Oryzias latipes: one gene and its partner. Each later gene encodes a partner of the first gene's protein in a complex. Links are inferred from orthologs where the notes say so. Each region holds a gene or a part of one and is shown in the gene's direction. Other genes may lie near its edges. The genes, in order: apaf1 and casp9.

What was found.
Region 2: the proteins of apaf1 (region 1) and casp9 are in contact, whole or in part, in a crystal structure (PDB 4RHW), measured with the Homo sapiens proteins. The link is inferred for Oryzias latipes from reciprocal best matches to the Homo sapiens genes APAF1 and CASP9. Residues at the interface, in NP_863651.1 of Homo sapiens: Thr22, Ser23, Tyr24, Met26, Asp27, Ile30, Ser31, Ile37, Glu40, Glu41, Arg44; in NP_001220.2 of Homo sapiens: Asp23, Trp26, Asp27, Leu30, Arg36, Pro37, His38, Glu41, Gln44, Arg45.

What each region holds. Positions count from the first base shown.
Region 1 is NC_019881.2:17,124,065-17,127,881, forward strand, and holds part of apaf1 (apoptotic protease-activating factor 1), read left to right. Parts: intron 1-1,251; coding exon 1,252-1,364; intron 1,365-1,449; coding exon 1,450-1,581; intron 1,582-1,728; coding exon 1,729-1,967; intron 1,968-2,543; coding exon 2,544-2,711; intron 2,712-3,037; coding exon 3,038-3,169; intron 3,170-3,252; coding exon 3,253-3,366; intron 3,367-3,521; coding exon 3,522-3,706; intron 3,707-3,817. UniProt on the Homo sapiens protein: Oligomeric Apaf-1 mediates the cytochrome c-dependent autocatalytic activation of pro-caspase-9 (Apaf-3), leading to the activation of caspase-3 and apoptosis. This activation requires ATP. Isoform 6 is less effective in inducing apoptosis.
Region 2 is NC_019865.2:5,965,216-5,969,800, reverse strand, and holds the start of casp9 (caspase-9), read left to right. Parts: upstream 1-1,782; 5' UTR 1,783-2,005; coding exon 2,006-2,137; intron 2,138-2,229; coding exon 2,230-2,440; intron 2,441-2,516; coding exon 2,517-2,564; intron 2,565-3,521; coding exon 3,522-3,577; intron 3,578-3,658; coding exon 3,659-3,835; intron 3,836-3,911; coding exon 3,912-4,001; intron 4,002-4,310; coding exon 4,311-4,361; intron 4,362-4,585. Other genes in the region: dnajc16 (dnaJ homolog subfamily C member 16), read right to left, coding at 260-444, 519-843, 918-984, 1,056-1,222. UniProt on the Homo sapiens protein: Involved in the activation cascade of caspases responsible for apoptosis execution. Binding of caspase-9 to Apaf-1 leads to activation of the protease which then cleaves and activates effector caspases caspase-3 (CASP3) or caspase-7 (CASP7).

The sequences.
Region 1 (3,817 bases):
TAAAGTGTCCGTCTGGCGGAGCAGATATAGGTGCAATCAGACAGACAGATGGATAGATAGAGAGAGATGCATTAATTGTCCACTGGGGAAAGTTGTTTTCATAGTAAGACATTTCTTCATAAGCTACGGAATTATGGTATTCATGCATATGCCTTTAGTTTGTTTTATTTTTGATAAAACAATGTATGGCGTATGTCTCAACCATTCAGAAAGCAACAAGAAATTACATTTGCGCTGATCAGTTTCCCTTTTCCACGTCGATTATTACCGACATCTGTAGCTTGTCAGATGCAATTAAATGGATGGAAATGAAATGCCCCATCACAATGCGTAATGATGCACAATGGCTGATCTTGCGCTTTTAGAAGATGTGGCAAATGGAAGAATTCGGAGTGAACGCATCTTTAGACAGCAAGAAGACTTGCTGGCAAACGAGGACGAGTGGCTTATGAGCCATTTCCGACTTCCTCTGCGGGCTTTTGGGGGTGTGTCACCCGGTGCATCCGGCGCGTCGTGTCCCCCTGCGCGTCAGTCACCACTCCACTTAAGGGATTCCCCGATTATTGCCGCCAGTCGCTCATCAAGAGGGGTCAGCTCCGGTGTACCACCCCCTGTGGCGATGCAGCGCCAGACGTTTTTTGCTTCGACTTTGATGTCCGACCACGGTCCGAGGCTAAAGGCATTTATGGCGTCTGCCTCCGTTTGCCACTCACTTGCCTTTTTGGCATTAGTAATGCCCACACTGTGCCCTCCAAACAACATTTTTCTCCTCTTTTCCACCTCGCCAGCGATAACTTCTACTTCACATTGAGTGAAGTTACGTTTTTTTGATTTCTTCTCGGTGTTTGCCATGGTTTTGCAATCAATGAATATTCATTTGTGGGCGTTTCACAGACTATTTATGGGCAACAATGGGCGTGTCATGAAGCCGCAAAAGCTGCTCTGCATTTAGAATCGGTTTTGATTTATTAAGGGAAAGATTCGTAGGATGTGTCTTATAAATCCGAATATTTCTGTGCGTACGTACGTCCTATGTTTCATCCGTACGCCACTTCTGACGCAAAGTCTAAATGCAGGGGGGAAAAAAGCAACAACAAAAAACTGGAATTGGAACTGGAACCTTTTTTTTGTTCTTTTTTAAAGTGAAAATCTTTAAGATTTTCTGAATATTTTGAATAAATCCTCGTCCAGTTATTTTTTTTGTTTGTAAACCGATTTTTTTATACTTTTATTTATTTTATTTTTTTAAAGGACTCTGCTGATTCTTGACGACGTCTGGGACAGCACGGTGCTGAAGGCCGTTGATATCCACTGTCGGATTCTTCTGACCACCAGAAACCGGTCCCTTGCTGATGTTGTTAATGGTAAATAAAAAAGTCGTTTCTGTCTTCTGTGAGGAACACAGTCTTACCAAACAAGTCCCATAAACTTATGCTTTTACTTTGAAAGGTAGTAAACACGAGGTGGAGGTGAACTCTGGCTTGGATGAGGACAAAGCGCTGGAGATTCTTTCTCAGCTGTCCAAAATTGAGATGTATAGGCTTCCTGAGGAAGCTCTAAGCATCGTCAAAAAATGCCAAGGTTAGTTTTTTGTGCATTTTGTGTTAATTTTATTGGGCAATTGTGGGCGTGGCTACAGACTTGTTTATTGAATCTAGAATCTATTTTTTTGTTTTTAACTAACAAATGTTTCTCCCACATTTTCTGCTTCTTTTTGGGCTCCGTTAGGCTCTCCTCTGGCGGTGTCCATGATCGGCTCTCTGCTCAGGGAGAATCCTGACCGTTGGGGTTATTACCTCAGACAGCTAGAGAAAAAACAGTTCCGGCGTATCAGGAAGTCAAGTTCCTATAACTACGAGGCTTTGGATCAGGCTATTGCTGCAGGCATTGAAGACTTGTCTGATGACTACAGAGATCTCTACAACCTCCTGACTGTTCTACACAAGGACGTCAAAGTCACTGCCAAGGTCATTCATGATTATCATAACTGGCAACAACTTTGATTTGACCCACTCCAATAAGAGTAGTGTTTTTGGTATTTTTAACATGTAGCAATTTTCTGATGATGGATGACATATATTAAGAAAATTAAGCTGAAAATTGCATTTCTGAGTATTTCTTTATTCAAATCGTTGTGAATCAGGAGCAGACGTAAAAATACAGTTTGAAACAGAGTATAATTGTAACGTAGAAAATCGTCTGAGCTGCATCTGGCTCACAGCTGTACGGCTGGATAGCTCCAATATTGCTCGCCATTTTCATTTCACTTGTAATGTTAGGTTGGGGGGTGTGAGGGGCTGTAAGTCCCACCAGCAACTCTGAGGCAAATATCTAATGAACTTTTGTCGCTCTGCAGAAAATATGTCCTTGAAAACAACACAATTTTCGATTTTGTCTAAAAACTGTATAATCGTAATTAAAAGCCCACTGGAAACGCTTTTACGTTAAATCAAAAGATGATTAGAGTGGGTTATTAGTCTAAAACCAGATTTACTTGAACAATATGAAGCTAAATCTCCAAAATATTTTATGTACTTTTCCAGATGATGTCTGTTTTATGGGGTCAGGATCAAGTGGACACTGAGGACACCCTCTCAGAATTTGTCAACAGAGCCATGCTTTTTGTGGACTCTCAGTCCCAACCCAACGTTTTCTACCTCCATGACCTTCAGCTGGATTTTTTATTGGAGCAGAATAAAAACCAGTTAAAGGTGTGAACCTCTAACTCCTTCTACTCCGTAGGAAAGCCAGTAACTGATGCTGAAAAAAAAACAAATGTGTGTTTTATAGAGAACTGATTAATGTAATTTATGCACATATATGTGTGTGTGAAAAAGTTCATTTTTAAATTCAGTACAAACTTTTGTAGATATGTTATGGATTTTGTTTATACCAGATTATTTAATTTCTCAAATAAACCAATCTATAGTCTATTTTGATCTAAGATGCTTATAAAATTATCATCTTGGTTATTTCATCAACCGTTTTTAAAACAATTCTTCGTTCTAATGTGTTTGCATGAATGCTCATGTCTCAGAGCCTTCACAAAAAGATGGTGGAACGTTACCAGCACCGCTACAAAGACAGGCCTCTGACCTCAAGAGATGAGGAGTCTCTTTACTGGATCCGATACTTGGCTTACCATATGGCCAATGCTAACCTTTTCCAGGTAAAAAGCACATTCTGTTCTCTCTGTACATTTATATTCAGACTTTGGATCCGCATGACGCCTTTTTCTTTCATTGCATTAAGGAGCTGCACTCCCTCTTGTTCTCCCTGGACTGGATCAGCGTGAAGGGGCAGATAATGGGTCCGGCCCACCTGATTAATGACTATCTGGAGTATGGATCCATTCTGGACAAAGAGGTCAGCCGACTTGAAAAAGAAACCTTTACTGCATCAATGTTACTGAGTTGACATCAGGAATAAAGCAGAGTTTTAGGCTTAATTGCAGCTGTGGGTTCTACTTTCTTCTCATCTTGCTGAAACATGTTTTTGTGATGTGACCTTTGTGCCGCCAGAACAATGAAATGTGCAGTGAGTTCCAGGAGTTTCTGTCCCTGAGTGGCCACTACCTGGAGCAGCGTCCTTTCCCCGACATCGTCCAGCTCGCTCTCTCTCAGCCCCACACCTCAGAGGTTTACAGACAAGCTCGGCTGCTGGCACAGGAGAGGGCCAAAGACGGGAAGCTCTACTTTGACCTCATGTAGGATTTTCTGCAACTTTCTCATTTGAAGGTTTTCCACTGTTAGTATTTGCAGTGAATCTGCACTAACCAGCACTGTTTTTATCTACAATTTTGATTGTTCTAATACAG
Region 2 (4,585 bases), on another chromosome or scaffold:
TGCCACAAAATGGCCACTAAGGTGTTTTTCACAATGTCAAAAAATTCATTTTTCCTGGGTAATAGGCAAGTTTTGGTGAGTTTTTAAGAATGTGGTGGGGGCAACATTTTTGTTCAAAGGTGCAGTAACAAAGAAAAATTACTTTTATAATTCTGGGACAGAATATTAAACCCGCAAATCATCTAAAGCTCTATGCTGTTCTGTAAGTCTTTAGATCTGTGTAAAACATGTTTGTCCCTCCCCACATACACGTATGTACCTGCTCCACCAGCCTCTGAGGAAGAAGGTCTTCTACAAACTGCTTCAAGTGTTCCTTTGCGACAGCATAATGGAAAAATGTCACTTTGCCATTGAGGACTCCAAGTATGGATGGGGTGCGGTGAGCACCGAGGTGATTGGCTAACCGTCTTTCATAGCCTACATCCACCACGCCGATCCCAACACCTGCAAAGACAAGGCATCCACGGATGATCTAAACCCATATGAGTTCATGCATGACAGGAGACCTCATCTCTAACCTAGACTCTCCATCTCCTGCACCACCTCTTTCCACACAGGCTCGATGTGGATGCAGGTGAAGCACCAATCGGAGGTGATCTTTATCAGGTAGGGCCTCTTGTAGCTGTCAGGAACCACGTCGTTGATGTAGTGGTTGAAGTGAAGGGTGTACTTGTTGTCGCCAAAGTCTCTTTGGTTCTTGTTGTTGAACGGGAAGTTAAAGAAGGACTCATCAAAGTAGAAGTTGTCATGGCGATGGCCATAATGACCGCTGCCATACGGTTGGGTGTCATCAGTCTGCCCATAACGGTCATAGTTGGCCCGTTTATCTTCACTGGACAGGATCTGGATTGGAGATGATGCACACATTTCAGGCATGACTGCTACAAATGGTCAAACCCACCTGAACCAGAACTAACCTCATAGGATTTGGTGATCTTGATGAACATATCCTCAGCGCCTGGATCTTTATTTTTGTCAGGATGCCTGAAGAAACAGAGGCTCATTTGAACTGAACATGTCAAACTGGTTAGTTGTCCCATCAAAAATATATTTACCATTCTCTTGCAAGTCGCTTGTAGACCTTTTTGATCTCAGCTGAGTTTGCACTCCTGGTCACACCTAATATTTTGTAGGGGTCCATCTCAGATGCAGCGCGAGCTGGTGGCGTCAGCAGCACCGCCAGGACCACGGCCACAGCCAGGGTCATCTTTGACCCCCCCATCGGTCCCCCTCACGACAGCGGATCAGTTCGCACCAGAAAACGCCTCTACATCGTGACACGGATTTTGGATTGCCTCCACATCTGCACAGCTGTTCCACTCAAATGATGCCAGAGCGGAAGCATCCATAATAACATGCTAACCACAAAAACACTGGCAATGCCGCCTGTGGCTATGTTGCCTTTCCTCCAGAATAAAACGCATTTTAAGGACTGCGTCTGCTCCAGTTGTTTATGTTCTCCAAAAACAAAGGTAGTCCGCCGGTTCTACGCCACATTAGGGTGGTTTTGGTCCTCTCAAGCTCCACGATGCTGGCTATCCAGAGATACACACACGGGGTATGTTCGGCCACAAATCACCAATATTCCGGGGCAAACCGCTCTAGGAAAAAAAGAGCATAGAGCTAAAAATAGTAAATGCAATAGCGTTCTGTGACATCTTAAACACCTCTGTGTTACAACTTGACGTTTTATCGAGCCGGGAATAGATTGGATTTGTGCACCGCTCTCCCCCTACAGTCACAGAGACACACCGGTACTGAAATCAAACGTACCCATGAGCTAGCCTATCACAGGCGGTGATGATGTAAACAAGGAAGTGGCTGATGGAACTTCGGGGGAAAACCAACCATAGGCATAAATATATCGAAAACAAGCTAGATGCGAAGAAGCTTTCTTTTTAACGAATTTATATCCTTAAAAACGCGCCTCTGGGTTGAATATTAAAACATTTTCGGAATTTGTTTTTGATTCTGTATTGGTAGTAAGGCGTTCGTGTGGAAGGAAATGGAAGAAAAACACAAAAGGATCCTTCGCCGAAACCGAGTTCATCTGGTAAAGGAGTTGGACCTGTCGGACCTCTGTGATGTTCTCCTTAGAAAAGACGTGTTCACCCAAAGCATGATAAACGACATAAAGGTAGGTTTCTACCACTAATGTTAGTGTCTCTTGTTTAGTGTTGTTGTTGTTGAAAAAACAAACAATTTAAAAAAATGTGTCCTGGCCGACAGAACTGTGAGACCAAACGGGACCAGGCCCGAAAATTGGTTAAGGACTTAGAGACCCGCGGGAATGAGGCGTTTTCGGCTTTTCTGGAGGGCCTTCGGGTCACGGGTCAGCAGAATCTGCTGGAGCTACTCCAGAAATCAGCTCCAAGAGTCCATTTCCAGCCTGGGAAATCCACGGAGGCGGGATACCTTCTAATCCAGCCTCATCCAGTTTGTAAGTCTGCTCTGCCAAAGTCCAGTTTGATCACTTATTTGATAGAAATAATATTTATTTGTCTTTTGTACTGTAGACATTGAAGATGCTGTTCCAAAGAAGCCCAGGACCCAACCTAGTCCACGTAAGAGAGAGAGGAGGGGTGGGGGTGTTAAAGTCCCCCATAACATTTTCATGTATTTTATTTATTTTCATAAAAACGTTCCCAGTAGTGTTCCCACAATCCCACAACCTAAATATCTTTAAACGCCATATTTCATGTTCATTCTAAACCTCTGTCTCCAAAATCTCCTCTTCATGGGCGTGGCTAGTGGTGCTGAGCGGTAGCCCCGCCCTTGATCCCGCCTTTTTGATGATGATAACTGTGTCCTGCAAGAGGGACAAGCTTGACACACTTGGGATCAATGATACTGATTGACAGTCTCTCTTCTCACAAGTTTCTCTTTAGCGATAAAGTGAAAAGTGACATTTTTGATTCCAAATCGCGCTTTCGGAACAATGACAACACGAACGTGTGTACCAGTTTAATAAAATAATAATAAAAAATGTATCATTATTATTTGCTCTGCTACACGGATCCAGAGGAAGGCTTAAGTTTAGGATTACAAGTTACGGCTAAGCTGCGTTCACACCGAACATGATTCACGCCGTACAAGCAGCAATGTGCCATCTCCTCTTCTGCCGCACCTGAGCTTGTGCACGCTGGACGGGGCAGATCAGGGAGCTTACGCAATGCCTATGCGCTCCTTGGCTATTATGACATCACAACGGCTCATTATTCAAACCGAGCGTCTCTCCGACAGTTTGATTGACAACGACTTAAAAGGAGAAATACTCAGAAATGCTAAAATGAAATGATTTAAATACATTTGCTCTGTTTCATAAGAAAAAAACACATGTACATTTAAAAACTCAAAAAACGTGATTTTCATCGGAGGGGGACTTTAAGTTCTATGTGGAACCATGTTGGATCCTTTTGTTTGTTTGTTTACCAGATTTTATACAATTTCATACAATTGAATTTCCCCAATGTGGGATCAATAAAGAATATCTTATCTTATCTTATCTTTTGTTGTTACAGCACCTGACGAGGTGTTCAAGGGGCCAGAGGTCCGACCACGACGGGACAGCATCCAGGTGAGCAGCCTTCATCATCCACATGCAGCTGTGTTTCCAGCATAATTGATCTAAATAACATATGGTGTGCTTGTGTGTCAGTACTATAAGATGGATGCCAGGCCATGCGGTCTTTGTCTTATCATAAACAACGTGGAATTTGAGCCAAAAACTGAGCTCAGCATTCGCAAAGGATCCAACGTGGACTGTGACAAGCTAGAGAAACGATTCAAGTCGCTTAACTTCGTGGTGGAAGTCCGGACAAATCTGAAACAAAGGGTGAGAGTCCTTTCTGCTTCTTCTGGGTCTGAAACGTTCTGAAAGGTAAAGATGCTCACTTGTGTCTTTCTTTCAGCAAATCAAATCTGAGCTGTCAGCTTTGTCCAGGAAGGATCATTCCATTTACGACTGCTGTGTGGTCGTCATACTCTCACATGGGACAGAGGTGAGGCGTCTCCTGTTTTTACTTTGTGTTTTTGGCGTTTTTAACATGTCGTCGTGGCATTTTTCTCATCACGGAGGACATATAGAAATAAAATTAAGCTTAGAATTGCATTACTGAGTAGTTCTTTATTCAGCTTGGTATGAATCAGTAGCAGAGGAAAAAGAAATGCTGTAGGAAAAAGCTGGCAGCAGGGATGTAGGTGCTACAATCGGTAGTCCAAAAGTTCCTGCTCCACTCCATTGCCATGCCTTCAAGACTTTGACATGGAACATGCTCACACGTTGCTTGATTACTTTTTGCTATATGCAGGTCCGCCACAACAAGATCAGATCAGCTGGGAGCTGGATAGAAATAGACCAGGTACGATAGAAAGGGAACAATTTATTATGTAGACAATTTGCCAAATGAGTGGCATTCAAGTTGATGTCCGAGGTTCTGTCAAGCACAAGGATTCCTTTGTCCTTTTCAAATAAGCAGAGGCCAAAAGGCAAATCAATGAAAGTGCAAAAAAAAAAAAACAAGACACATGCTTAAACAAACCCTGGAGACTGAAAGAAATTCTTCTCCAAATGATTGGGAAAGGA